4 linked regions of the Saccharomyces cerevisiae S288C genome follow. Changing the gene in region 2 together with the main gene of any one other region gives a genetic interaction. Each region holds a gene or a part of one and is shown on either strand. Other genes may lie near its edges.

Region 1 (7,497 bases), on a different chromosome or scaffold from region 2:
TGCGGCTTTGAATTCAGTGGCATTATATGGCTTTACGCCAATTAGAGGGAAAAACACCTCACAAACCTCATTCAAGAAATCACTGTTGGAAAGCGATTCCCATCTTAAAATATCTGCACGAGTTTTGAAGTCACCTTCGGGACCCAACAACTGGCGCACAGCTTCCTTGTCGCTCGACAGATGGATCAAGTAGTAGTCAATAGCCATTGCCTCTGTAAGCGTCCACTCGTCATGCGGTCCAACAAAAGTTGGGTACTTACGCAAGGGAAACTCCCTTTCGTAAAGTTGCTGAGCGTCACTTGGATCAGCAAGCTTAACGTCCAGCTTCAAGGAACGCACTAAACCTCTTGGCACAATGGTCCTAATCAACTTTCTCTCCTTCAAATCAGTAAACAGTGTTCCGTCAGACATTTGTAGTTTTCTACACAAAGATGCCGAAATCAATGATGAGCAAGTATCGAGTTCGCTTCGCACTGCTACATCTAGGCTTTTATAAGGGGTGGTATCGTTTAAAGGTGCGGCTATTAAAAGGGATGAATACGTGGGAAACGGTTGCATTACAGGAAAAACAGCTTTTTATCTTATTATATCTTTAAATATGTACATACGCTTGTTTATACGTGGAGGCGACAAAAAGGGTTGGTTGAAGGGAGAGAGAAAGAGACGCACAGAGATTGGAGGAGGGGCTCAGTTCGCTGATTGTTTCTTCTTCTGTGTTAGGTTTTCCAAAGTTAACCTGTCGTTGTCGTCGTCATCTTCACTGGGAGGCGTTGAGTTAGTGTTTGAATCTGAATCTGAATTTGTATTCGTGTTGTTAGAATTTGTGTCTTCATCATCTTCCTGACTGAAAAGATTTCCATTGTCATCCGGTGATTTAGCGGTAGAGTTTTCGCCCGTAAATTCGTTGGCAAACTCTGTAGCCGGAGAGGCCTCCCTGATTAGCTTCCTAGTAAACGGATCATCCAAAAAATTCTGTTTTCTTTGTCGTTGATTTTGTTTCTTTAATTCATTGCCTATTAACTTGGAGTAGAGTTTTTTGCCCAACGTTTTCTTTAGCAAGATTTCACGGACTTCGAAGTACAAGTCTCTGGAGGCGTTATTCAAATTTGTCTGGTTTTTCTTGAAATATGACCTGAATTCATTGATGTGTTTTTTGAACTCCAGTTCGTTTTTCTTCAACCAAGAAACGTTCAGCTCCTGTCTGGTAGCACCCCTTGCAAAGTTTCTCATCAAATATTTGTCATAATCTCTGATGATCTTTGTGATAATATCACTTGTAGAGACACCATTGGTTCTTTGGGTAGTCAAGAATTTTCCCATCTCCTTTATTGGCTTGTAGATATCGTCGCTGTCGGCGCTAACGTAAGGAATATCGTCATGTGCCACGTAGTCAATCTTGTGTTCTAGTAGAAATTCTGGGGTGACACACCAGGGAGCGTTGGGCACGACTTCGTCAACCCATCTGCAGTGCGTTAAAGTTTCACAACGCTGCTTATCGGTCAGCACAGTCAAACCTTTTAGTTTGTGAGTGATTTTGTCGCTAGGCACACCAACTATCAGTGTTACATTGGGGAAAGCCTTCTTACACTGTTCCAGTTGCTTCATGTGGCCAAGATGGAAAAGATCAAAAACACCATCTGCATATATCCTGATGGGTCTATCCGTTGGAGGCAAATTGAATCTGAAACCTTTAGGACGATACTTGCGCAGTTCCTTGGGCAACTCGTTGGTGTAACGAGCCTCCTTCTCTTCAAACTCCTTCGTCAACCGGCGACGCTTGCGGGGAGTGAGCTGTGTGTCCTTATTTTCATCCTGGTTCTTACTCTCATCCTTATCCTCATTGTCCTGCTCTTCCGTTTCCTCACGCTGTCTTTTATTTTTATTTTTTTTAAATAGGTTTGATAGCGATGAGTTAGAAAGCTTAGCCCTAATCGAGGACTTCCCTGTTGTTGGGTTTGCCATTTTTCTTTGTGTCTGCTGTGCTTTGTACTACCAAGAGAGAATAGCAAGAGTGAAATTTGAAAGTTAAACAATACAATAAAGAAAAGTGACTGGCGTATGCAAGAAAGGGGAATGGGTATAAAAAATACAAGAACGGCAGAAAAAATAAAAGAAACAGGAGAAACAAACAATGGTAACTGTACTAAAACCAATACCAGATATATATTTCATACTTATTAAAAAGCGTTAAGAAACGAAGCGTAAAAACGTAAGAAAAAGAATGACTATATAACGGTAGGTCTTCGACTCATTTTTTTCTTCCTACATGCAAACGACAAATACGGGTAATGCACATTTCGCTTATTGGGTTCTTCCCTTTCCTTTTTTCCATTTTTTTCTTTCTGGCTGTCGCTAGCCTTTCTACTTCCTCCGCACATACAGTTTTCAGCACAGTATAGATAGCTGTGCAGCCAGATAGAAGCAAAAGAGAAGTCAATTGCAAAAAAAATATGGACTCGTACTCAATAACAAACGTAAAATACCTGGATCCGACTGAATTGCATCGTTGGATGCAAGAAGGACACACTACTACGCTGAGGGAGCCTTTCCAGGTAGTGGATGTGCGAGGCTCAGATTATATGGGGGGCCATATCAAGGACGGATGGCACTACGCCTATTCGCGCCTTAAGCAGGATCCGGAGTACTTACGTGAGCTAAAGCACAGATTGTTGGAAAAGCAAGCGGACGGCCGCGGAGCGCTGAACGTGATTTTCCATTGTATGTTATCGCAGCAGCGCGGACCGTCTGCAGCGATGCTGCTGCTTCGGTCGCTTGACACGGCGGAACTTTCTCGCTGTCGTCTATGGGTGTTGCGTGGGGGGTTCTCGCGCTGGCAATCCGTATACGGTGACGACGAGAGCGTTACGGCGGGTTACCTACCCGATCTGTGGCGTTGACAGGTTTACACAATCGCACGTGATCATATATTTGCCATGACTCCTCCCAGTGACAATTTTGTTCTTTTTTCCTCTTTATCGCTTTCGTACTATGGTCAGTCATTCATTCATTATATACGCGCTCTCCATAACCCGTAACTTTTTATTATATATAGACTCGTTTACAATACAACGATAGCGATACCATTCAATTGAAGTTGTGAGACCAGGTAACGAGACGAACACAACTTTACAAGTCAAATAAGAAATCATGGCTGGTCAAGTGTTGGACGGCAAAGCATGCGCTCAGCAGTTTAGAAGCAATATTGCTAATGAAATCAAAAGCATTCAAGGTCACGTGCCTGGGTTTGCACCTAACCTTGCCATCATTCAAGTAGGCAACAGACCAGACTCAGCCACATATGTACGCATGAAGCGTAAGGCAGCTGAAGAGGCCGGCATTGTTGCTAATTTCATTCATTTAGATGAATCCGCTACTGAATTTGAAGTTCTGCGTTACGTGGACCAGCTGAATGAGGACCCACATACACACGGTATTATCGTGCAACTACCATTACCCGCTCATTTGGACGAGGATAGAATCACCTCGAGAGTGTTGGCAGAAAAGGACGTGGACGGGTTCGGGCCCACCAACATTGGCGAATTGAATAAGAAGAACGGACACCCATTCTTTTTGCCCTGCACGCCCAAGGGGATCATTGAGCTGCTTCACAAGGCCAACGTCACGATTGAAGGTTCCCGGTCCGTTGTGATCGGAAGATCTGACATTGTTGGCTCTCCTGTTGCAGAATTGTTAAAATCTCTAAACTCCACCGTCACCATCACTCATTCTAAAACCCGTGATATCGCATCATACTTACACGACGCGGACATCGTAGTCGTTGCCATCGGCCAACCAGAATTTGTGAAGGGTGAATGGTTCAAACCAAGAGACGGCACTTCCAGTGATAAGAAAACCGTGGTAATTGATGTTGGCACCAACTACGTTGCTGATCCTTCCAAAAAGTCCGGTTTCAAATGTGTTGGTGACGTTGAGTTCAATGAAGCAATCAAATACGTCCATCTAATCACTCCAGTGCCCGGTGGTGTGGGCCCCATGACGGTGGCTATGTTAATGCAAAATACCTTGATTGCTGCCAAACGCCAAATGGAAGAATCCTCGAAGCCTTTGCAGATTCCTCCCTTGCCATTGAAGTTGCTAACACCTGTTCCTTCCGATATAGACATCTCCAGAGCACAACAGCCAAAGCTTATCAACCAGCTTGCTCAAGAATTGGGTATTTACTCTCATGAGTTGGAGCTGTACGGACATTACAAGGCCAAAATTTCTCCTAAAGTCATCGAAAGGCTGCAGACGCGCCAAAATGGTAAGTACATCTTGGTGTCTGGTATCACACCAACACCACTGGGAGAGGGTAAATCCACTACAACAATGGGTCTTGTCCAGGCACTAACGGCTCACTTGGGCAAGCCAGCCATTGCGAACGTCAGACAACCCTCCCTAGGACCCACTTTAGGTGTCAAAGGTGGTGCTGCGGGTGGTGGTTATTCCCAAGTCATCCCAATGGACGAATTCAACTTACATTTGACTGGTGACATTCACGCCATTGGTGCGGCTAACAACCTACTTGCTGCCGCTATTGACACTAGAATGTTCCATGAGACCACTCAAAAGAACGACGCTACCTTCTACAACAGACTAGTGCCTAGAAAGAACGGAAAGAGAAAGTTTACTCCCTCCATGCAAAGAAGATTGAACAGACTGGGTATTCAAAAGACCAACCCCGATGATCTAACACCCGAAGAGATCAACAAATTCGCCAGATTGAACATTGACCCGGACACTATTACTATCAAGAGGGTGGTCGATATCAACGACAGAATGTTAAGACAAATCACCATTGGTCAAGCCCCTACCGAGAAGAACCACACAAGAGTTACTGGATTCGATATCACCGTTGCTTCTGAATTGATGGCTATTCTTGCTCTTTCAAAGGACTTGAGGGACATGAAGGAACGTATTGGAAGAGTCGTTGTTGCTGCTGACGTAAACAGGTCTCCAGTCACTGTTGAAGATGTGGGTTGTACCGGTGCCTTAACCGCTTTATTAAGAGACGCTATCAAGCCCAACTTGATGCAAACTTTAGAAGGTACTCCTGTCTTGGTCCATGCCGGCCCATTTGCCAACATCTCTATCGGTGCCTCTTCTGTTATTGCTGATCGCGTGGCTTTGAAATTGGTTGGTACCGAGCCAGAGGCAAAAACAGAAGCTGGTTATGTGGTTACTGAAGCAGGGTTCGATTTCACTATGGGTGGTGAAAGATTCTTCAACATCAAGTGCCGTTCCTCTGGATTGACACCTAATGCTGTGGTCTTGGTTGCTACTGTTAGGGCATTGAAGTCACACGGTGGTGCTCCAGATGTCAAACCTGGCCAACCTTTACCTTCCGCATACACTGAAGAGAATATCGAGTTTGTCGAAAAAGGTGCCGCTAACATGTGTAAACAAATTGCCAACATTAAGCAATTTGGCGTCCCCGTCGTTGTCGCAATTAACAAGTTTGAAACTGACACTGAAGGTGAAATAGCCGCCATTAGAAAAGCCGCTTTGGAAGCTGGTGCATTTGAAGCCGTAACCTCTAACCATTGGGCCGAAGGTGGTAAAGGTGCTATCGACTTGGCCAAGGCCGTCATCGAAGCTTCCAACCAACCAGTGGACTTCCATTTCCTATATGACGTTAACTCCTCCGTTGAAGACAAATTAACTACTATCGTTCAAAAGATGTACGGTGGTGCCGCAATCGATATCTTGCCTGAAGCACAACGCAAGATTGACATGTACAAGGAACAAGGTTTCGGTAACTTGCCAATTTGTATCGCCAAGACACAATACTCTTTATCCCACGATGCAACTTTGAAAGGTGTTCCAACCGGGTTCACTTTCCCCATCAGAGACGTCAGATTGTCTAATGGTGCTGGATACTTATACGCTCTTGCCGCCGAAATACAAACCATTCCTGGTTTGGCTACCTATGCTGGTTACATGGCCGTGGAAGTCGATGATGACGGTGAGATCGATGGCCTGTTCTAAGACAACTTAATTATATAGAATTTAATAAAGACAAATGCAAAAGTTTTTTTAAAGTATGGATGTATAATAATAATAACGATAATACGAACACTATTGGGACTAATAATGATTTATAGTTTTTTTTACACAGGGGATTTAACGTTCCGCGACCCTTTTTCCTTTAATTTAACCCCAGTTCCTTAACGTCGAAAATTTCCGATTCCGTTAAGGAGGAGAAAACCTAATTACCAAACGAAGCGGGGAGACGCATTAATGAGAACAATAAATGTATGAAACTTTTAGCAATCTAAATGATACTATACCAAGACAAGCGAACACTGGCTAGCACAATATTTGGGCGGAACGAAATAAAATAACGAAGATATACATAAGACACAAAGGAAAAAGCGTTCCATTGCATCTCTGAAGTGAATAATATAAAAAGTAGTAAAGCTAGAAATGTGTGATAAGTCAAAAACGGTATTGGACTACACGATAGAATTCTTGGATAAATATATACCTGAATGGTTTGAGACGGGAAATAAATGCCCCTTGTTCATTTTCTTCTCGGGCCCACAAGGCTCAGGCAAAAGTTTTACAAGTATCCAAATCTATAACCATTTGATGGAAAAATATGGGGGTGAAAAATCTATCGGTTACGCCTCAATTGATGATTTTTATTTAACTCACGAGGACCAATTGAAACTCAATGAGCAATTCAAGAACAATAAGCTGTTACAAGGACGTGGTTTACCAGGTACTCATGATATGAAATTGTTGCAAGAGGTATTGAACACCATCTTCAATAATAATGAACATCCGGATCAAGATACTGTCGTACTACCCAAGTACGATAAATCCCAATTTAAAGGAGAAGGGGACCGTTGCCCCACTGGTCAAAAAATCAAGCTACCAGTCGATATTTTTATCTTAGAAGGTTGGTTCCTCGGGTTCAACCCCATTTTGCAAGGAATTGAGAATAATGATCTTCTTACTGGGGACATGGTTGATGTCAATGCCAAGCTCTTCTTCTATAGCGACTTGTTGTGGCGCAACCCAGAAATCAAATCTTTAGGGATAGTATTCACCACCGATAACATTAACAATGTTTATGGCTGGAGACTACAACAGGAGCATGAACTAATATCAAAGGTCGGAAAGGGGATGACCGACGAACAAGTGCATGCTTTTGTGGATAGATACATGCCCTCCTATAAACTTTATTTGAACGACTTTGTCCGGAGTGAAAGTTTAGGTTCCATTGCTACATTGACGTTAGGAATCGACTCCAACAGGAATGTATATTCTACGAAAACGAGATGTATTGAATAGTGATGTTATGACCTTTTTTTTTACGCCTTTTTTTTTTTTTTTTTTTTTTTTAATTTATCTCACTTTTCCCTTCTATTTTATGTACTAACAGATAATTTTATAATGATTTCATGTATTTTTGGTTCAGAATTTTGACAAGGCAACTCTTGAATAATTGTCGTATGCAAAAAAAATTGTTTATCTGTTACATATCCATCA
Region 2 (6,965 bases):
CGCCCATGGGATCAAACCATACTGGTTTCTTTGTAAAACAGGCGCAAAATATAGAAACTCAGAAAAAGAGAAAACGAGTAGTGGAAAAATTTATCAGCCATTTATGCGACGCATCCGTTTGACTGATCTACCTATTTAAAACAGAAACCTACGTTGAAAAGTTATTTTTCCAACACATTACTGGATCTCATCAAATTGCCAATGTAATCTTCTAGATAATCATTTTCTTGCTTTAGTTGCTCACACACCTCTTGCTGCTCTAAGGTTTTATTCCACAACAAGTCTAATGTATCCTTCAGAAGTTTGGTTTGGCGCATCATCCTCTCATTTTTTGTTCCAGCTTCTCTTTCGCCAAGATTAACTTCAGAGGATGGCTGCTTGCCCGTCGGCGAGCCAGTACTAATGTTCTCCGCTGACATTGTCCTATTTGTTTGTTTGCTATTATAATTTATCTAGTCAACAACTTCGCAGATCTACAAACTGGTCCTTAAGATGTTTTATTGAAGACATCATTTTTTATTTTTTTAAGCAGAACGTGCTGTGCTCTCCCTTTTGGGCCTTTTTACGATTTTCAAAAAAATTGGTCTCTAGCGGGATCGAACCGCTGATCCCCGCGTTATTAGCACGGTGCCTTAACCAACTGGGCCAAGAGACCTGTAATCTGTGTTAAACCTGCATAAATTATGAAATCATAGCAACGTTTCAAATACTTCAGATGCCCCCATCCCTTCGTGTAGATGATGAAATGAAACTCTAGAATATCATCCATTTAGTAGCATTCTTGCTGCTGGTATAGTATCATATGAGATCTAGGAAGATGAAATGAAGCTTGAGAAAGAGTTAGCAAGTTTAATGGAAGCTGAAATGCAAGAATTGATAATGTAATGGGAAAATGAAGCATATAAAACGATAGGAAAAATAATCGTAATATTATTGTATGCAAATACCGATTAAATTTGAGGATCCCTATACCCTTGAGGAGAAGTTCTAGTATGTTCTGTATACATAGTATTGAAGCCTCTATCAACAATGGAATCCCGATAATTATCACAAAATTCACACAAACCTCAGATAAACGTAACAGTATTAGCATACATAATTATACCCAGGCTTCTCCCACAGTGCGCATGATTCGCTACGAAATCATCAATTTCACATAATATTGAGATTGCATTTGTTTTTGTTTCTTGCGTTGTCACTTTTAATTCTGCTGTATTATCAACTCCTGCACTTAGCTTCTGCAAGATAAAATGACGACTTGAGCATCATTCTCAGATTCAGTTGAAAGTTGCTGACGATTTTCAGGGGTCCCATTTCTAGTAAAACGACATTAGACATATACTAGAAGTTCTCCTCAAAAGATACAGGAATCAATAAAAGAGAATCGGCAATTCTAAATAGCATATTATTATTACTTCTTTTGCTTTGTAAGTTGTAATTTACAATCCTATTACATTATCGTTTCTTGATTTCAACTTCCATTAGATTTGATTATGACTGCCATCATTTTGGGTCACCGTACGTGAACATTGGTTTGCAACAGGAATAAAAGTCTTGAGATGTTGTACTCTGAGCAAATAAACAAAAGGAATTCTTTCTAATATTTCACAAAACTGATTTCCAAAAATGTCTCTAAGTACTCCATTAGCGACACATTTTACATTTCATTTATTTAACATAATACCTTATTTAAAGATTGATTAATTTTCGATGAGGCATACCCCTTGGCAGAAAAGGAACAAACTCACAAAGTGCACAAAGAGTTTATAAAGAAACTAAGAAAAGTAAGGAAGAGAAAGAGACCGTACCAGCAAGGCCAAGATGTTTAAAAGAATCGCAATAGCCCAGATAAGAACGTATACAAATGGCGTTGTTTTCAAGACAGCCTCTAAACCCAAAAGAAGATGGATTCCATGGACAATTTTTGGGGGAAGTTTTCTTGGAGGGTGGTACTTGACACAGCATATGACGTTCACGGACTTACTAGCTTATTGGAGATATGATGCCCTACCCAAGAACGCAGATGAAGTCGTCAAATATCACGCTGATCTGAATAGACGTTTAAATGGCCTACCCATAGTAAAACAGTTGGAGAATGCTGGTTTTGTACAAGTGATTGCTAATGAAGAGGAGAACTTGTTAGTGTCAAGGGCATTAAATACACCAGGTGGCGTCGCTATACCACCAAGAGTTTACTACAACCCCAGTAGGCGTGAAACTGTCGGGCTATACCATTTAGGAATGAAACTTACTGGTTATCCTTTCTTAATTCACGGAGGCATTTTAGCAACAGTTATTGAAGATTTAATGAAGGAGGCCATTAGACTCGAAAAAGGAACAAAAAATATAAACCAAGAAACCAAGAATTTGAGTATCTCGTACAAGTTCCCCACGTTAGCTAATCAATTTGTTGTAGTAAGAACCACCGATCTTCAGCAATACGGTAACAAAACTAAATTAAAGGCTGAACTTATGGACCAAAGTGGCAACAGGACATTGGTCAAAGCTAATGCCACGTTTTCTAGCGAACAAGGGAATCCAAAAGAAGAAAAATAGATTTGCCGTCTACTTATTTATTTATTTATTTATTTATACAATAGCTGTACCATGTAAATAATACATATATGAAATTATTGAAACCAATGTATGGATCCATCTCCGCATACTATACAATCCATGGAATAATCATGTTTTTCTAAAGGAATTGGAGAGGCCACCTGTTCCATAAGACATAGTCCAACTAGGAGGGGCTTTTGGCCTTCATGCAGTATCTTATACCGTTGGAAAAAATCGTCATAATACCCAGCACCGTGACCCATCCTTGCACCAGTTTTAATATCAAACGCCACTCCAGGCACCAATACGACATCTAGAATATCTGATTCCTCAATATGCGGTTCAGGCTCTTTTAGTTGATATGGACCTTGAGGCTTCAAATCACGAACCATTTTCAAACTACTCATTCGATGGAATATTAAATGTGGATGATGATCTTCCCGTAATTTGAAGTGTTTCGATTCAGAAGTATGAGTACATCTTGGCAGAAAGACCTCCTGGCCATCTTGAAATAAATTCTTAATGATTTCTCCAGTCGTTACTTCTCCTTTATCCATGCTCATATAACACGCTACACGCCTAGAATTGGCGGAAGCGATCAATGAGCGTACTGCTTGAGAAATAGTATGCGACTCTGCAGCGATAATATCGTAGTCAAGAGCATTTATTACCCTTTTGATTTGACGTCTCAGTAATTGCTTAGTGGCCATTAATTTTTTGTAGCTATATAAAGATAGCGTAGCTGACAGTAATTTTTATTTTTGCCATTTCAATGATTAAATATTATTCGGAAGAAATCTGAGAAAATTATATATATCCTTCAAGAGAATGAAGCTGCTAACTGATTAATAAAAACAGCTTTAATCACAAATCTCTCACGACATGAAATAAAACACCCTTGCAAACAGATGTGGAAGACTGATTGCCACAAAGCTTCGGGCTCGCAAGCAGAATGGTTTTCAGGAAGTGACTTACTAAGCTCGAATATTGTCCTAGATAGCAAACAGGCCTTTGATGGAATCAGTTTGTCTCCTGAAGGTTTTTTTGAAATAAAATGATAAATGAGAATAGCAGACCAGTTCTACGGGTAGGATTGAGATATAAAACGAGAAAGGCACTCTCTCACTGAAAAGTAATGAAAAATTATCAGAACTCCAATCTGCTGTCTTTACATCCTCGAGAATATCGCTAAGCTATCGATACTACGAATGATCCAGATACGACAGTCTTCGCTGGCGATCTTTTTGGACTAAATTTGCTCACTGATACACTAAAAAGCCTACGCAACTACACAAAGGTAAGAAACCACAATCGCTACCCATTAATCCTTATTGGCATTGTAGCCCCATATAATAGAAGTGAAAGAGTAACATTGCGCCATTTTTCGCTACTAAATAACCTCAAGAAATGTGTCCAGCTTATGGTTCCCATAGAGCGAGAATATATGACTTAAAGCATATCCCTGAGTGGGTTGCACTGGTACACACTCTGTGATGGTGGAGCACATTAATTAAAACTCAAAAAAATTATCACGATATGGACAAAAATCTAAATGGGCAAGTATCTCTCACAAAAAGACCTCACGTATTTTATGAAATTACAAATTGACGTATTTCAACCTTGTTTACTCTAAAGTTCCCCCATATAGCATAGGGGTGCTTTGGGTTTATTTAATCGTCAAATATAGTCCGATTTGTCTCATTATTCTTGTGTCGGAAAAAAATTTATTGAAGCGACTACTACCTAGATATTCTGCAATTTTTCCTATAATATAATATGCCTCACCCCAATCAGTCCCTCTTTATGACAAGAAATAAGACTACAGTGTTACATCAGATACTCCACATTCCCCCTATCGAAACCCAACAAGAGCGCTATCTCTTATACAACATTTCACAAAAAACATGTGATATGCTTTCAATTGATCCTATCAATATCAAAATTATCATTCTCACTGCATTATCCTTCATTTTCGTTAGTGCGCATCCTCCATTTTGGGACGTGTCTACCAAATAAAGAATGATGCGAGATACAAAGTAGGTGATAACATCAGAACCCGGTGTTAGAATGCAAGGTATAATCAGCAAAAAAAAAAAAAATGTGTAAAAAAAAAAGGTCGGTTACCAGCTTTACTAAATGTTTTCTATTGAATAAAATCATAGAATTCCATAAGTGACTGTGACATTTTCCACCCAGTTGATACAGTTCAATGAATTCTCACTGCAGCTATATTTTGGATGCTTCTCCACTTTGTAATATACATTGTGATGTTTCTTTGATGAAAGATATAAAATATTAAAAAAAGTTGATTCTTACATCTCATCTTTGTCATAAAAATCCTCTGGAATGGCACCTTAGAATTTCTAGGCACAGGAAACTATTCGATTTTTCTAATATATGAATCTAAGTCAAATTCAATATCTATGTTATTTCAGAAAGTGGAGTAGGTGTGCTTTTAAGAGAACGGATTTATGACGGAAAACTAGGTTAAATAGACGAAGAAAAGCTGAAGTAATTATCGTTTTGCTGAAACTTTCAGGATAATCCCTATCATAATATATTCCTATCAAGCGATGAGCAACGGAAAGCTGTGAATTGTGAATGTAACAACAAGACTATGTGAAGCAATTTTTAAGAGTTATTTCATTTAGCAATCTTTTGAGACCCGAAATACTCAAAGAACGATAAAATCGTGGGACGAATAATTAGACTAGCAACAATAAAAGGAGTAAATACAACTAGATTTGTGAGTGTGTGTAATTGCGTGTAGCTTGAAAGACTTACCACAGTGGTATCAACACCATACTCGAATCGTTCTAGATCTTGCATAAAAAAAGGACATTTACTTTTACTTACTAGTTATGAGCCACCTTTGATTTCATGGTACAGCCCATAACCTTCCTGAAAGCGGTGCATAACGTAAGGGACTAGATTAGAATCACAAAACCTTTTATTGCATTCTACAGTATTCGTCTAAATCAAGGGATTTTATTTCCTAATTGAAAGTGATCAATTGTTTAGGTGCATACTTGGTTTTTACTCTCCGAGGTTTTCTTTAGTAATACCAAATTCAGTGTCCTCCCAAAATAGATTGAGAAGGTCTGGTAGAGATTCTGCAGTCACAAAATTTTCGAGGCTACAAAAGTCCATGCCAACTGAAACACTGGTGCTGCTGGGTGACAACTTCTCATAACAAGCACCTTCTTGATTTTTTCCCTGTACGCCAATAACTCTATTATTCACCAAATCACCCATTTCCCTATCAAGAATGCTGAGAATTTCTTTACGGAAGCTTGATTCTTTGTGTTCGCCTATAATATTCCTGTACCAGATACATTCAATGTCCAACGCAGCTTGACCAGCATCTGAGCAAGCCTGGCCATATTTTTTCAATTCACAAAACAGCGATTCCTTAGCCATTTTCTGTGAACGTGTGTACATCTGACAGCAGATGCGTGTTAGGATGAAAGAAACCGCTGTTCCATTTTCCAACTTTTTAGAGAAGGCGTTGTTGCCCTTGAAATTAACATTGCCAGAGCTCACAAATAAGTCATTATATGAGGCTATCATGCGGCACATCAAGGATAAATAACATATCGAGTTCCTTCTAGGGGTCTCGATAAAATTCAAGGTAATATTCATCAAGATGGCATATATGAACCACGAACAACGGAAAATATAGAACGTATCTTCGTGCTTGAGAACATCCGTCAAAATATCTACAGATGCTTCAAAGGTTTGAAGCCTGATGTCCTTTACGCAGGAATCAAGTTCAATTCTCTCTCTTTCTTGTAGAAGATTTTGTATCCTTAAAATTAAACTCTCCATTCCCTGAAAACAACAAACCTTTGCAAATCCGAAATGGGTGTATAGTTCAAATACATTACTATTTTCAGAATATTGTTTGAGGAAAGGGATTAGTTTGTCTTGTATGCACTGAAAAATTTTACATATTTTTGAAAACTCTACCATAAGCTGTCGTGCGGTTCCATTTAGGTCTTTAGCGTTAGGAGTTGCAAATAATCTGTAGTCTGTAAAGTGTCGATTATAAAGCAAACCAGAGAATACCGCTGTAATAATTTTCGTTAATAGAATATAGCCGAAAGAGATACAAATATCAAACTTACTTGGGTCGAGCTCCACCAAGTTTATTAAAGTAAAACAGTCCATCGAATCATCTACCCCTAATCCAACCACATCCTTGGGAAAGAGACACGAAGTCATTTCATGTGGTATCAATGGCTGCTTACCGGTGACCAATGAATACCATCTATCCCACCAGTAGCAGTCCCACCATAACTTACGATATTCTTCGGCAGTGTCCTCATCCTGACCAATATAATATTCCCAACGATTCAAACCAGCATCCAAACTTCGCCTGGACATCGTGGAAATAATTCTTCCCAGCA
Region 3 (8,135 bases), on a different chromosome or scaffold from region 2:
GTTCATAATGTGTAGAGCAATGAAACCGGTTGCGCCAGAAACGAAAACAGTGGTATCAGTAGTCATAATTATTACTTTTTTAAGTCTGTTTAGCACAGTTGTACAATGCACAATTACTGTTTTTATAAACTATGTAGTAAGATCCATTGAGCTCGAGACATAGTTTTTCTGAATGAGCGGTTCATTTATAGTAATTTGTCTTCATAAAGTTGCATAGAATAAATTCCGGAATTATTCGCAAGTTTTTCCGTGTTTCTAGGATAGGGGTCGGAACCGCGGAAAATCCTATGCTAATTTCGGCCGACATTTTTATAGAGCGAAGCCGATCTTAACAAATTGATGACGTATGCGTTAGGAAACTGTAACTAGAGAGCTGGCGTAAATATTAAACGTATCTTTTTTATTATTTCAATATGAATGCTATTAATTATTAGTATAAAAAGGGGAGACAGTTGATATATTTTCGAATATGCTGGGTGCGTTTTCCACTGGATAAGAGTTTACCAGAAGAATATCTTGTTCTTCCTTCTTCGGTATATAGAAGATGTTGCAAGGTCTAAGGTAAAACACTCTTTTGGCTCACCGATCCAACTGCCCCGTAGGTTTCTGTCTTCTTCCGTCATAAATATGTATTCCGAGCTTTCACTTCTGGAAAACTCGGTGTCATCTTGTTTTTCAGATTGGCAGCTTAATGCACAATGTAGGGTCTCTGCTCTCTCATCGAATGAATCATTTAGTATGCTTTGCACGCTGGCATAAGAATTTGAGTTTGAATCCTTCAAACAATCGTACGAATTTAACCAAGGATCATTTAGGAAGTCATCGATATCGTATCTCTTGTTTGGGTCAACCTCCAAAAGATGGGTAACTGCGTTCTTAGCGCCAGAACTTATGTTGTCCCACCATGGCGCCAAGAATTCGTAATCTCCTCTCGATATTTTCTTCAATAATGTTTTTTCGTTCTTTTCGTAAAACGGAGGATATCCACACAATAACGTGAATAGTACGCAGCCAATACTCCACATATCAACTTTCATGGAATATCGTTTGGAGGTGAATACTTCTGATGCGACGTATTCTATCGTTCCGCAGGGAGTTTTTGCGGTATTGTTCCGAAGTTTCTTGGCTAGTCCGAAGTCCATTAGCTTCACTAAACCAATACCGCCTCCGCCGACACCTAATGTAAACTCGTCTTCTTTTTGCATGTCCCCATCAAGGCCATAAAATGGGATAGGTTCAAATAGTAGGTTTTCTGGTTTGACATCACGATGCACAATACCCATGTAGTGCATATGTTTAATTGCAATTGCTACCTGAGTAATGACATGACGAGCTAAGTCTTCACTAAAGCATGTTAGTTGGACGATCCTATCAAATATTTCCCCACCTGTGACTAACTCCGTCACTAAGTAATAGTAGTTCGCCGATTCCTGGAATGCGATAAATTTTGTACAATGCGGATTATTTTTCGAAACCAGTTTGTGGATGGCAACTTCGTTTAAGACTTTCTTTCTGCTGGAACCTTGGATTCTATCATTCCCTTTTAAGATGGCATCGCTCGAAATGCCTTTCTTTATGATTGCTTTGATGGCAACAGGAGCTTGGTCATCCGTGTTGATGCCTACTGCTTTAAATACTCTGGAAAATGCCCCTTCACCAATTTTATTGAGCAGTTTATAATTGTGCAACTCCAGTTGTTCAGGATACTGGTGATTTGAACTGGAATAATCGGTTGACTTGTTAGAAGTTTCATCTAATTTTAATTCAGTGGAAAAAATGTCACAAAAATATTCGTCTTCTTGAGAGTTGTTTTCCAAGCAGCTCTGTTCACTTTTTTCTGAATCGGACGAGGTAACATTAAAGTCGACTGAAAGAGATGATCTACGGCAACCCGATGCAAAGGAGTGGTGTAAATTTTCTGAGTTACCATTTATCCTGTTAACTTTATTTTTACCATCAGCGGCATTGAAATACGCGGCATCGGGCGTTGTTGGATAAAAATCGATGCCATCGGCTATAAATTCTGGGTTTACTGACATTTTTTTCTCTATGATGACTTATTTTATATGATATGTAGCCTCTGTGCTTGGTGCTGCATGAAATAGATGCTGGTAGTATTGTTTTAGGAAGATTATTTGAGTAATCTTTGCGATGTGTCACTGGAAAAGAGTTAAGTGATGATTTATTTTTTTCAATTGACTTTCAACATGTAGGAAATATCTGGTATGAAGTAGTATGAAGTATTTATACGTCAATGATCCGCGAATATTCGGATAATGACTTCACCCACTCCATATAACTGAAAATCCGACAGGAAACTAAGGGACGCCGAGATGTCAATCTCATGCACTTCACAAACTCTTAATGGGAGTGCATTGTGTGATCATGCAGCTACCATAGGCACCGAAAGCGTGGGGTAGCCCACTTAAAAATCTTCTTCTCGGAAAAAAAAAATGAAATGCCTTGCCGGGAAGGTGCTGATGCAGGAAGAATTTCTTCATGGAAGGGCACTCCTCATCCAAAAGGTTTCTCGAAGAAATATTCTATCATATCCGGAATTTCTTTTTTTTTTCCACTGATTTTTTTCTGCTAGAATTGTTTGCCCCTCTCCGCAGGGCGGGGTCTCTTACATGAAAAAAATCTAGATTCGTCACACACAGGAAAGGAAATCGACTATTTAATTACTTCTATAAAATTTAACTTTCATGCAAGTCCCCTAAAAAAAAAAAACACTACAAGTTTGTAATTCCCTTTTTTTATGTACAAGATTTTAACGTCATTTTTCACAATGTCGCCGTATAAAGGCGATTTTTCTGCATTTTTAAGGTCAACAGGTATCTGGACCTTCCATTGTTTTTCCGCTTCGATTGTCAAGATTGTCAATTTTCGCAATTTTGATTTTTATTTCCGTTGCTGTGACTTTCTTCTTCATACTTGAGCTGCATTGTTCTTTTCTCCGCTCTCATTTTTTTTTTGTTTCCCCTCATTATTTTCTTGCATAGCAAAGTGAGTTGGAACTACAAAGTTTTCACAGTCTGAAATTCCGTGAATTTAAAAATAAAAAATCAATTTTTTCTTACACGTAATTGCAGAAAGAAAGTATACGTAGTCACTAAAAAGCGGTCATATATCAGGAAGTTCTGGTCTCCCGTCTAAAAATAGAACAATGCGTGTTCCAGAAACTTAATTATGGGAGATGTAACAAACTTTATTACATGTTAAGAAAAGCCGAGTTCAAAGTATTAACCGGAAGAACACCAATTTCTTCAATTTTAAAAGCCAGAGCGCCGTACCCGATTTCTTCTCTTAAACGACATGTTCAACCAACATTCTTTTACATGCAGCAAACAGGCAAAAATGAAGGTCTAATTTTTCTCGTCTTTAGTCGGCTTCAAACGCGGGTAGCTTGATCACAGAACCAAAAAGATAAAAAATAATGGTTGCTAAGAGATTCGAACTCTTGCATCTTACGATACCTGAGTATTCCCACAGTTAACTGCGGTCAAGATATTGCTTGAATCAGGCGCCTTAGACCGCTCGGCCAAACAACCACTTATTTGTATGTTTCGGTTCTACTAATATAGGTTGGAATCAGTTAGGTATTATCATCTTAAGCGTACAATTCAAAATGTTCACAGAAGAAACCCTTGTGCAACAACCTACAGCGAAACAAATAATACTGGGTTATTTAGCTATAGTTCTTTTTTTCTTAGATGAACTGCTCAAGTGAGCGATGTCGATAATTGAAGGCTAGAAGATAGTATAATCAAAATTAAATAAGGATCTTTATATACTCATATGAGAGAGGTATAAAACACCCACACTAATTGATTTATTATTGCTTACGAACAATATGATAGTAATTCCGGTAGTTATCATACACTCAATGTGGGGACTTATATTGCTCACGTATATAACTGTCATATCATATTCAACTAAAAAATCTTTAATTCAGTATTGTTTAACCGCTAGTGTAACATTTCCTTCTGCAATTGTTTACACTGTCATTTAACGGTACCCATGGTGTACAACAATATGTAGTATAAGCATTTTTGGATTGTTAGCATATCAGTACATGTAATATTAATGATCTTTTTTTCTGAACAAATGAATATTTCAATAGTTAGTTTAGATTCAACAGACCGTGAGATATTGGCCTTTATTTAAATACACATTGGTTGTGATCATCAAATTTGATAATGAGCCTTTGTTTCTTCCGGAAATAGTTAACGATTACTTTTTTTGAATTAATTAGTTGTTATTCATCTACAATGTAATCTCTAGTTATTAAGGACGCTATTCTATTCAGTCACACCAATTTATTTAATTTAAATGTAAGCTTCACCAAGCTGGACGACCTTTTATCATTTTAAGAAAAACATAGAGATTGAACATAAAACTGAAAAAATTTCGAAGGAACAATAGAAATCTTCGGTTTTCTTGTTAAATCACTGATCATATTTTTGGATTTTTGAGGTGATCTTCTGGAATATTCTGTATATAATTTTCATTGCTTTCGTCCAAAAATGGAGTCTCGAAAATTTCCATACAAGCCTACATCTTTTTAATAATCAGCGGCTATCGAGGTGGAACATAAATATGGTTAAAAAACAGGAACATTGTTTCGCCGACATCAAATAGAGAATAGTAAATCTAAGAACTATAACCCTATGACATTTGTCTATTTTCCATATGCGCGTTAATGAAAAATAACTTTAATATTGGCTATGCACAGATCGACAGAGAAAAGTCACCAGCCTCTCTTTAAAATATGGCAAAAATCTTCATATCTGTTCAATTCTTTTTCTATTGCTAATTTCTTGAAATACATGTTGAAAATTGCTCCTAGCTTTCGTTAGATTGATGACGGTTATAAGAATTATGGTATTATTCATGTAATTAAGTCATTTTAAACTCTATATCCGTAGCGCGAATAAATGGTCCTAACGTGCTATACCGTGGAGGATAGACACCTGCAAACAGTATACGGTAATTGTTTCTCCCTTCATAACACTAACATTGCCTTTTTTTTTCTTTCATATTTTATGATGTTGTTTTCTTTCTGCACTTTACTTTTATTCTTTTAATAAATATAAAAAATTGCAAAATTTCTATCAAACTGCTCATATGTAAACATCAAAAATCTCTTCCGGATCGTAAGATATTAAAAAAAGTATCATATTTAAAAACACTTAAGAACCCTTTTGAATATAAAAAAACTAGAAGCCAAGATGCAATTTATTCCTTGTTTTCTGTGTTTTTTGTTCTCAAGCTTAAGAATTCCTTAGCAAGCGCCACGTCCATAACCGCTAGACCAACAATTTTACACAAGGTGATAGTTCTTTTGCAGCCCTTTTCGTTCAAATTCAAAACTGTGTTTTTCAAAGTATCTAATTCACCAATTTCGATGAGATTATGTGGAGCGATATTGGAATCGATTAATTCTCCAGATTCCAATAAAGTATGTTCCCTTGAATCTACCAAAATGCAAGCGCTTTCATTATCAGATTTGAACTTATCAATCAACTCCTTATCGCATTCGTGCATCACTGGTTTGTAACTTCCAATTAATGAGATATAAGTATGTTTCTGCTCCACAGAAGCTTTACTGTTTAGCAACTGCCTCAAAAACAAGTTGGGCTCTAGAGTAGGTAGACAACCAAAGATAATATCACTGTTAGAAACAGCGCCATTACCTTCTGAACTGATGTCGTTTATTTGATACTGATTAAGCTCTATCTTTATATTACTTCCAAATAAGTTTTTCAATGATTTCAAACGATCCAAACTCATCATGTTATTGTGATATAGTATGTTTATTTCAACTAACTTCAAAGATTCGCCAACAATCCCTGACATGATTAGTTTAATAGCTATGTATATGTGCCAAAATGCTTGGAGACCGGTACCAAAACATGTTAAATAGCAAGTGCCATTTTCAAATCTAAACAACTTATCATGGGAACATGAGAGTTGCTTATATAAACCGATACACGATGCAAGGGCAGTTCTTATAGCGGTAATTTGTTTAGCCTCAAAACATCCGATTAATTTTCCTGTTTCAGGCTCAATAACATTTATCACACCTTGAAAATTTTTGTTGTTGTTATTCACAAGAATTTTTATTCCTGAAAAATCCTTGCTCACAACAGGCATGAATATATGGGATATGTTAGAGTCTGCATTGGTTTCATCCAATTTTTTGAACATCCTATTGAGCAGTATCTCATGGTTTTGAGAATATAATCTCAATGACTCGTGCAAGCTGAGAAGAGATTCAATAATTGTTTGAGAAGAGCAGTTTAAGTAAAACTCTCTAACCTCATCATCAGTAATTATGGAATTGTTCATATCAGTTGAATCAGTTGCCAGATAACAATAGCTAAAGAGATGATAGATATCAAAAAGAGCCGATAACGTTGGCCAGTAAATTATATTTGATTTTTAGAGGACATGGCCACAGGCCGAGCTTTTCGATCCTTTTTCCTACTGCCCTCTTGAAATATAAACCGAGAACAACAAGAAAAGAAGCTTTTTGCTAATGTAGCTCCCAATTTTTTTGCAGACAGCCTCCATTTTAAAACGATCATCTCTAATATATCTCCATTTACCGATTAATAATGCGTACAACCTGTCAAGTGTATTCTAATAGCCGCGCAAGAAAGCATATAAACTAAAGGTCATTAAAAAACAGATATGTATTTTTTGTTTTCTATATACTATAAATTAGCATCTAATGTCGTGGAATATCATTTCCGAGCATATTGCGTAAGACATTATTATTCTTTTCTTTTCCCCTCATAATCCGTAAGTCTCACAGACAAAGTTGATCCTTTCATCGTTACAATATTTTTTAGACAATTGTAATAACGAGGGAGGACCACATGAAAACAACCATGTTTCATTTTGGTTCACTTGTGCACTTTCATTGTTGAAGCTCTTCAATTCGTTGGAAAGAGTAAAACTGTGTTTGGATTTTACCTCGATCATGCTTCCATTCTCTTTTGTGGGGCTATGACTTGTCTCTGGCGTATTGTCATTGCTGTCCGCATTTTCTGAATTGAAATTAGAAATCGAAAGGTCTTCGTCTTCATTGTTGAAAGATCCCATTTCATATTCTGAGTTTTCATCGTCGATATTGGTCGTAATTTCGTCTAACCGTGTTTCCGCCGTGTATTCTCCACTAATAAATACTGAAATCCTCTTATTATTCGAGAGTTTTTTCTCAAAAGTCAACCCATTTGTCTTGAGATAATCCAAAACAAGTTCATATTCAGAGTAATCTTTTATCAGCCAGATCATTTTCAAGTATTTTACATTCTCCTTGTTAAAAAAATGCCTAAATAGTGGTAGGGCAAAAGATATACCAGACCCACCACATATAATAGCTATATTCGTGCCTTGAGAATAACATTCTTCGGGTACAGAGGGAGGATAACTATTAATCAAAGTATAGGTTTTTTCTTGATCTAAATGAAAGGATTTTGGATTACTACGAAGAGACTCTATCTGGCTACCTGGCTCGGCTGTAGAGGTTTCCTTTATAATAAGATCAATTGAATTGTCTTCTGCCAAAGACGCAATTGTGTATGGATGCGATGGTAGCAACCAATAGAGGGGATTAATTCTTCTGTAAGGGCTTATTCTAATATGCGACCCTGGTTCAAAATAATCTGGAAGAATAGCCCTGGGCAATCTTACATGGACTAAATTTGTTTTTGAATAATTCGCATTCTTATTCAAAATCATCAAGGATTTCGCAAATACTATTCTATTGATAATATGAATGAATAATAGGGTACAGTTTAGTAGAAGAAATGGGAACTTAACACCTGGCCTAGAGTGTATTGGGGTGAGTAAGATGAAGGCCACGTTCACCAGGTTATGTACGATGTAAAACAAACGATAGTTGTATCTTCTCATTGGCCCAATCGAGCAAATAAGTAAAAAAAGTACCAATATTGATATTATGAATCCCGCAAAATTGAAAGTTTTCAGAATCAATTTTTGCTTTAGAGAGACATTATCGTCTATCGCCCACTTAATGATGAAGAAAATCCCATGAAGCAAACCAATCACGGTGATAATACGTGAAAACCATTTATGGAACGGTATAAAATCAGTGTAGGTGCAAT
Region 4 (8,100 bases), on a different chromosome or scaffold from region 2:
TCATAACACTCAAGGGAGAACTCTACCAGCCGATTCTCAGTTTGTTTCATCCCTGTTTACATCTAACAGAGAGATTACAACTGCGGTAAACACTAATATTCATGATGAAAACGTTGCCATCAATCCGTCTAACGCGCCCTTGAAAGGTGATCAGTTTGCGTCTTTAGGTGTCTCTAGTCTTCTTGTTTCTCATCTGGAGCAAAAAATGCGTATTAAAAAGCCTACGAGCATCCAGAAGCAGGCCATACCTCAAATAATAGGTAACGCGGGGAAGAACGATTTTTTCATTCACGCCCAAACAGGCTCAGGTAAGACTTTATCGTATCTTTTACCTATAATATCTACTATTTTGAACATGGATACTCATGTTGATCGTACTTCTGGTGCATTTGCATTGGTTATTGCTCCTACACGAGAACTAGCATCACAAATATATCATGTTTGTTCCACGCTTGTGTCATGTTGTCACTACTTGGTCCCATGTTTATTGATTGGTGGAGAACGTAAGAAATCAGAAAAAGCTAGATTGCGTAAGGGTTGCAATTTCATAATCGGTACACCAGGTCGTGTTTTGGATCATTTACAAAATACAAAAGTTATCAAGGAGCAATTGAGTCAATCTCTAAGGTATATCGTATTGGATGAAGGAGATAAGTTAATGGAATTGGGTTTTGATGAGACGATCAGTGAAATTATTAAAATTGTTCACGATATTCCCATCAACTCCGAAAAATTTCCCAAGCTACCGCATAAGTTAGTGCACATGTTATGTAGTGCTACACTTACTGATGGTGTTAATAGGTTAAGAAACGTGGCGTTGAAAGATTACAAATTGATTAGCAACGGTACCAAGAAAGATTCTGATATAGTAACGGTTGCGCCCGATCAACTATTGCAGAGGATTACTATTGTCCCACCAAAGTTGCGTCTTGTAACATTAGCTGCTACTTTGAACAACATTACCAAAGATTTCATCGCTTCCGGTCAACAGTCCAAAACGCTGCGTACAATCGTATTCGTATCATGTTCAGACAGCGTGGAGTTTCATTATGACGCATTTTCAGGAAGTGACGGGCACCATAAAAATCTAACGGGTGATTCTGTAAGACTATTGACAAAAGGAAACACTATGTTTCCTTGTTTTTCAGATTCTAGGGACCCAGATGTAGTGATTTATAAATTGCACGGTTCTTTATCCCAACAAATGAGAACCTCTACATTGCAGCATTTTGCTCGTGATAATGAAGCCACCAAGGGAAAACATCTTATTATGTTCTGTACAGATGTCGCAAGTAGAGGCCTAGACCTTCCCCACGTTGGATCTGTTATTGAGTTGGATCCACCATTTGCTGTTGAAGACCATTTACATAGAGTTGGTCGTACAGCAAGGGCCGGTGAGAAGGGTGAAAGTTTGTTATTTTTACTTCCTGGCGAAGAAGAAAAATATATGGACTATATCCAGCCGTATCATCCGATGGGTTGGGAATTACTGAAATTCGATAAAGAAATACTAATGCCGGCTTTCAAAGATGTGAATGTCAACAGAAATGATAAATTCATTAGAAAAGATGAGAAATCGTCCAAAAATAAAGACGTGGGCGATAAAGAATATGAGTGGGATACCAATGCTACGACATGGCATTTGAATATAGAAAGACGAGTAGTGGGAGATTCCGCATTCAAAAATTTGGCCGTTAAAGGTTTCATTAGTCATGTGAGGGCTTACGCAACGCATATCTCTCAAGAAAAGAAGTTTTTCAACGTGAAGTTCTTACATCTAGGCCATTTAGCTAAAAGTTTTGGGTTACGTGAAAGGCCAAAGGCTATGGGATTGCAAAGTAGTAAGGATGGTAATAGTGAAAAGAAGCCAACTAAGGAAAACTCTAAAAATAAAATGTTTCGTATGGCTCGTATGGCAGAGAAGCAAATAGCAAGTGAGTTTAACTACTAAATAGACAAGAACAAGCATTAATTCATATAAAAAAAAATTGTATACTATGAAGACAAAGAAAATGATAAAATCTACAGAAAATGAATAACGGTTATATCCTCTATCATATATAATATAAACTTTTACCATTCATCAAAGTACAGCAAGAATATTCTGTTCTACTGATGCGTCTGCATTTTGGTCCACTTGTACTCTTGACTTTAAATCATAAGCTTGCATGTCGTGAGCCTTTTCTTCCGTTTTTCTATTCTGTTGTGCAGTATCTGAATTTTTTTTCACATACGTAGGCCTATCGAATTGTTTTTTATCACGTTCGTAATCCCATGCTTTGGACTGTAAATGCAAATTCTCCAAGGATTTCGTTGTATTTATTTCACTTTTCAGAGCGTGTATATGTTTAAGGTCGCTGATATCTTCTTCGTCACTTATATCACTGATGTCATCATCTGAACCTGCAATTACGTTCTCTGTATCCTTAGGGACTTCTGTCATAGTAACTTTACCGTTTGAACCTATATTCATGCTAACAACGTACTTCTCGCGCCTGCCATTCCGTTCCTTTTCTACTTTTTCCCACTTTCTCAAATTACGTTGTTGCTTCTTCAACGCAAGAGCTCTTTCTCTTGCGCTGCCCCATAAACCCACCTCCTGATTCATGTCAAAATCGCTGGCATTATCAATAATTTTTGTTCTTTCTGCCGAAGTGTCTTGGAAATATAAAAGTCTATCTAATCGTTCTTGTGCTGCTAACAACTCCGGGTTTTCCTCAGCTTTATGGTCATGCTCGCTCGCTTGTCTTTCCTTTGCTTCGCTCTCTTCTTTTTCCTCCTGCAATTTCAACACTTCATTACGCTTTCTTTCTCTTTCTCTTTTCCTTTCGATGAAATCAAATAATTTGTCCTGTTCAGCAAATAAATTTTTACCCATACCGGAAGTTATTTTGTAGGTTTTAGTCTTCTTCTTTGGGACATTAGCTCCATTTGACGCATTGGATAAGGACGATGATGAACCGTTTAGTTCGTTTTTTTCCTGATTTAAAATTTCTACCATTTGGGTTCTTTCGTTATCAGAAATCAACTGTTCATGGCAATGACCGCATTTACCTTTATTCAATCCCTCTATAACACAAACCACTTTACCACAGTGAAGACAGTTTGGCGCGATGTCGAAAACTGGATGCCTTGTACCTTGACAATTACAATTTTTAGAAGAACCGCTATCTCGAAGCTCTAGCATCTTGATTGCTTCGTCTATTTCTTGTAACGATTGTAATTTCCCCTTTGATCTGTGCTCTTTTTTCTCCTTTATGGGGTTTGATTGCGTAGATTGATTTGATGGTTGAACGGTAGGCCTCGTTGTCGAGCTTTTCTTCTCATCCTTTAATTTTTTTGGTTTTTCATCTCCCTTCTTATTGATATAGTTATTAGTGGGCTGTTTTGATTCATTTTTCCATGAAGTGGGGGCAGTATGTTCAAGATGCACATTTTTCGTTTTTTTTTCCTCTTTTTTATCATTCTGATTCAATAATTCATTGAACTTCATTACAAATTCAAACGATAGATCTTCATGACCTAGGAACTCCAAAAATTTTGAAGCAATTTGTTCTGGATCATCAGATGATGTACTCAGTACTTGTTCGCACAGCGCTTTTACATCAGACTCTTCCAAAGGCAATATTTGCGGAACTTGTTTGATTGCATAGTCAATAGCCTGCTTTCTTGTCATTATTAATTACTGCAAACCCAAGGTTAAATAATTAAGCCACTGTTTCTCGGACTACGTTCACTTTGCCATTATTTGCTGCTGCCAGGCTCTTTATGCCTCTTTCTTGCTGTATAATATTTCAATATTTGTCCGATACCCGGCAAGCGAAGATCATAAAGAATATCGAAATGAACCTCATAACTGAAAGCAATCATCATAAATTTGTGCTTTGAAGAAGCAATATAACTGGTCGAGTTACGTCAAGTTCTGCCTAGCAATGTTATAGCATTTGAACACATTATGGCGATCAAGAAAAGAAATAAAATTAGGTTACCAAGTGGTTCTCCTGAGGAGGTTGGAATTGATGGTTCTGCGCATAAGCCAATGCAGCAAATTAAGCCCCTAGTGTCGAACGATTCTGAAGATGATGACAACGACATTTGTGTATTACAACCAATAAAGTTTAAAAAAGTTCCTAAGCGCGACATTACCTTTGATGGCGAACAAGCAATAAAGGAGGATAATTCGCATTATGAAGATCTTTACCATTCAAAGAAAAATACCAATGCATCGACGCGAAACAAAGATGATTTGCTAATTCTCAATATGGAGGACTTGATGGAGGGGAATCATCATCTATTAAGTGATTCTTCAGAGGCTGGCAGTAGCTCCGAAGGTGAGCACATTAGTAGTATACCAACCCGAGGAGAAATTGCAAAACTGAAAGCACAGAAGTCATTATCTAGAAGGAAAATTAGTGAGAGTGATGTTACAACAGAAAGAGATTATGTAAAATTGTTGGACAGTGAGGATAAACGCGAAATTATGGAGACAATAAGATTAAATGGTGGTCTGAAACGTAACAATGAAAAGGAGATTACGAACTTCAGTGACGATGAAATGCAAGGCTTTCAAGACGAAATGCTAGCCCTCACGGATAATCAAATTGCTATTCAAAAGGATTCTAAAAGAAAGATTATAGAGAAGGCCATAAATGAAGTGCCCTACAGAACTAATGAAGAATGGGAAACCCAGCTTTTAAGCAAAGGAAATATAAACAAATCGAATGAGAAAATCATCACGCCCTTACCGGTACTTTTCCCAGACGATGATGAAAGTGGGAACAGCATTGAGAGAATAAACGAGATGGTTTCGAAGATCTGCTTGCAAAGGAAGAAGGTTGAGATGAGGTTGCAAGCGTTAGAAAAAACAAAAATTGACTTGGAAAAATCTAAAGCAAGCCTAATAAATAAGCTCATTGGTAACTGAACGTTAATCATGTTATTTTTTTAATCGCTGTACTATTAAAAAGGGATATCTTTACGACAAGTGATATGGATGTATAGATTGATGGTGTATATTTGTATACTATAAAATGTCCAATATATTGTACACTATTGAATCACAGGACACAAAGTAAAATGGTAGCAATTCTGTCGGAGAATGAAAATAATGTACTTATTTTCTCTTTTCGCGAAATGCTTTCTTAAAGTCGTCCAGTACACGGTTTTCACTAGCAACGTTAACCGAGTAGGCTGCTGGGTCAACATGGTTCTTGCTTACCTCCCAATCAAATTTGGAATCTGATGACATTCTTGGATCATAAAATGCTGTAATATCGACTGAAGAATCCACTGTATCTTCTGGATTATCAACTCTGTTATTACTATTGCTGTTTGATTGTATGACGTTATCATTAATTTTAAGTATTGGTAGTTTCTTATTGAAATTTAATGATTGGCTTTTGGGAAAGGCATCTTCGTCACTACTGCCTAGCATCTGGTTTATGTCATTGAAATGCTGATTGTTCTGTCTTATTGTACTAGGTAACACTGATGTTGCGTGTAGACTGGCACGATTTTTTTTTCTCCCATCAAGACTCATGTTTAAAGACTGCAAAATAGGAGTGTGTGAATTAACGTTCTCACTCGGAGCACTGGTTGACAGCTTGAAGTTGAAACCAGATGCTATATCGCCATCATTGTCATCTTCGTCGGATAAGTCATCAATTTGAGACCAACCATTGAATGAGTCCTCCTCAATGCTGGCCAATGTCTCTCTAGATTTGTTTAGTTTTAGTTCAGGAATTTTAGATGAACTTGTATCGTAGTATGGCAATTCAATCCCATCGGCCTTTAATACATCAAAATATGATGGAGGATCCACAGGAATAGCATGAGAATCGGCTGCGCCGCGCTTAGCTAGATCAAAATCAAAATCTGGAGGCGGGGAGTTTGATAATGGTTGGTAATTGAGAATTGGTGAGGTGATGGGCGATAATGGTAACGCCTGAGGAGAAGTTAATTCTCTTGGAATCTGATTGGGCTTATAAATGTTTGCGACCAGCTGTTTGGATGCGAAGACATTGCTACTTTGATCATTCTTCTTGGAGGTATTATCTGACTTGCTTTTCTTTACGCTTTCAGCTCTATTACGCACTACTGGAAGATCAGACGGTATTCTAATGTTCATCTTCTGCACGTTAGGTGAAAGAACGGGAGACGAAAGAACTTCTTTTGGGAAGAAAATATTGGAATCATGATGACTTGCGTAATTTTGTTGATCTGCTGCTGGTGCGAAATTACCATCTTCATCACAATACTGGAAATGACTCTCGTAGCTCGGTAGCAAAGTATTCGCGTGTGAGCATAGTTGATTTAAAATATGGATTGGAGAATCAATACTTATTTCGAAATGTTTTCTATTGTCCCCGTACTTCTTGGAAAGACGAAGGCAAATTTTTATCCAATGGTGGGCTTTGATTTTATCATAATTTGTATCAGGGTGTAACCGTATACTGTTTGTAAACTTGCTTGGGACAAACACCTCGAACTGAAAATCTTTGTTAACTAGATCGCCGGATTTTTCATCCAAGAGGATGTTCCCTCTATTTTTAGCCTTCAAAGGATTCGAACCAGCTGGTATATGAGGCAGTTTAGGACCGTTATGTTCAGCCAACAGAAACTTTTTAGTTGGCTCTAATCTACGAGCCTTCTCGTGATTTCCATTACTATTACAAGTGTATTCCATAGACTCTGTTAGATAAATTCTAATACGATGCAGAGTAACTTTATCTAGAGGAGCGAAATGGAAATCGATGGGTAAAAATGCATTCAAAACGATCTCTTTCGAGAAAATTACCACGTCATAATGAAGAAGATCTTTCCAGTCCTTGGAAATTGCAATAGCTTCAGTCTCTTCTACGGATCCATCAGAAGGAAGCCTTACGACTTTGATGGGTAATTGAGTATGTATAGTTGATTTGAATGCGCCAAACCTCTCTATGTCTATTGACAGTTTATACTCCACGGAACCAAAATTGGCTTTTATACTTTCTGGATAAGATTGCGATATTGGCTGTTCAAAAGTGTAAATATAATCGCCCGGTCGAAAAATAAAAACTTCTTTAGAATCTTTGGATGGTGTAAGATAGTTATCCTCTTGCTCAGGACTTGGAGTAGCGCCACTATTACTGAATGTTTTTGTAAACAAATCAGATATGAAGGTATGAGGTGACAAAGAGTTACCGTGAAAATTTGCCGGTACCGATCCTCTTCGACTAGATGATGGTAATGGTGTCTTTTGAATAGCCAACAGTTTACTGTCGTCATGGGAAACATCACTTGATACTGGCTTGTTACTCAAATTATCGGATGACAATGAGTTGCGCTCATAGGCATCCAGACTTAGATTGCTATTATCTTTAGGGGGTTCAGCGGTTGGTGGGATATATACTGAAGCACCGCTTTTTTCAAGTAGATAATCTTCATCGCTCATAGATGGGCGATTGGACGAATTATTTGAGCTGTGATGTTCTAAGGTGAAAGAATTCATGCCGTCATCCGCCTGATAAAATGGCCATGTGTGATTGACAACAGTTTCAACATCTGAAAATTCTTCTCTCTTCGGTGGTATACCTTCCGGCCACTCTGTTCTGGATATTCCTTTGAAGGTTATCGATATACTTTTTAATTTATTCGGTTTCAACACCCTGACGATAAGAGATCCTCGTAAGATACTGGGGGCTATTTCAGACAGTCCGTTAGTTTCAAATCCTTTTAAAAACACTATGGGTTCGGCAAGCTTTACAAAGACTTGTAGTGTTGTTGTCTGCACCAGTGGGACGGCATCAGGTGCTGCATTTATATCTTGCTCCATGGGAAACACTGGAGCTACAGTATCATTTTCTGTATTGAATTGGAGCATGTAGTCATAGAGGAACAAGCAATATTCTATGGGATTCCAGCGTATTTGTGCGGAATGGAACTTTCTGTTGGTTGTCTTTCTTGTTGCTTGTCTCTTATTTCAACGAGTTGTTCCCATTTTTGATAAGATGGGGATAGCGAAATAAGACAAAAGAGTCAATATTTGGCAATTCGCTCAAAGAGGTAAAAAGACGGCGCTATTATATATCTGCGTATATATACTACAAACAGCCGGGAATA

The links.
Region 1: mutations in FAU1 (region 2) and ADE3 impair growth when combined (synthetic growth defect), as found in Saccharomyces cerevisiae (2 studies listed by BioGRID, with this or other methods).
Region 3: mutations in FAU1 (region 2) and RCK1 together harm fitness more than expected from each alone (negative genetic interaction), as found in Saccharomyces cerevisiae (2 studies listed by BioGRID).
Region 4: mutations in FAU1 (region 2) and RQT4 together harm fitness more than expected from each alone (negative genetic interaction), as found in Saccharomyces cerevisiae (2 studies listed by BioGRID).

Annotation. Positions count from the first base shown.
Region 1 is NC_001139.9:902,787-910,283, forward strand, and holds ADE3 (trifunctional formate-tetrahydrofolate ligase/methenyltetrahydrofolate cyclohydrolase/methylenetetrahydrofolate dehydrogenase ADE3), read left to right. Parts: upstream 1-3,147; coding exon 3,148-5,988; downstream 5,989-7,497. Other genes in the region: YGR201C (uncharacterized protein), read right to left, coding at 1-411; PCT1 (choline-phosphate cytidylyltransferase), read right to left, coding at 688-1,962; phosphatase YCH1, read left to right, coding at 2,451-2,897; YGR204C-A (uncharacterized protein), read right to left, coding at 6,275-6,388; TDA10 (putative ATP-dependent kinase), read left to right, coding at 6,427-7,299. UniProt on the Saccharomyces cerevisiae protein: Cytoplasmic isozyme of C-1-tetrahydrofolate synthase.
Region 2 is NC_001137.3:550,704-557,668, forward strand, and holds FAU1 (5-formyltetrahydrofolate cyclo-ligase), read right to left. Parts: upstream 3,267-6,965; coding exon 2,631-3,266; downstream 1-2,630. Other genes in the region: SLO1 (Slo1p), read right to left, coding at 162-419; YER181C (uncharacterized protein), read right to left, coding at 770-1,093; FMP10 (Fmp10p), read left to right, coding at 1,822-2,556; TOG1 (Tog1p), read right to left, coding at 5,593-6,965. UniProt on the Saccharomyces cerevisiae protein: Only enzyme known to utilize 5-formyltetrahydrofolate (folinic acid) as substrate. Contributes to tetrahydrofolate metabolism in an alternative way of folate biosynthesis.
Region 3 is NC_001139.9:200,937-209,071, reverse strand, and holds RCK1 (putative serine/threonine protein kinase RCK1), read right to left. Parts: upstream 2,040-8,135; coding exon 501-2,039; downstream 1-500. Other genes in the region: carbonyl reductase (NADPH-dependent) ARI1, read right to left, coding at 1-66; YGL159W (uncharacterized protein), read right to left, coding at 5,239-6,351; AIM14 (putative metalloreductase), read right to left, coding at 6,799-8,135.
Region 4 is NC_001143.9:478,995-487,094, reverse strand, and holds RQT4 (Rqt4p), read right to left. Parts: upstream 3,677-8,100; coding exon 2,084-3,676; downstream 1-2,083. Other genes in the region: DBP7 (putative ATP-dependent RNA helicase), read left to right, coding at 1-1,951; NTR2 (Ntr2p), read left to right, coding at 3,956-4,924; ALY1 (Aly1p), read right to left, coding at 5,114-7,861.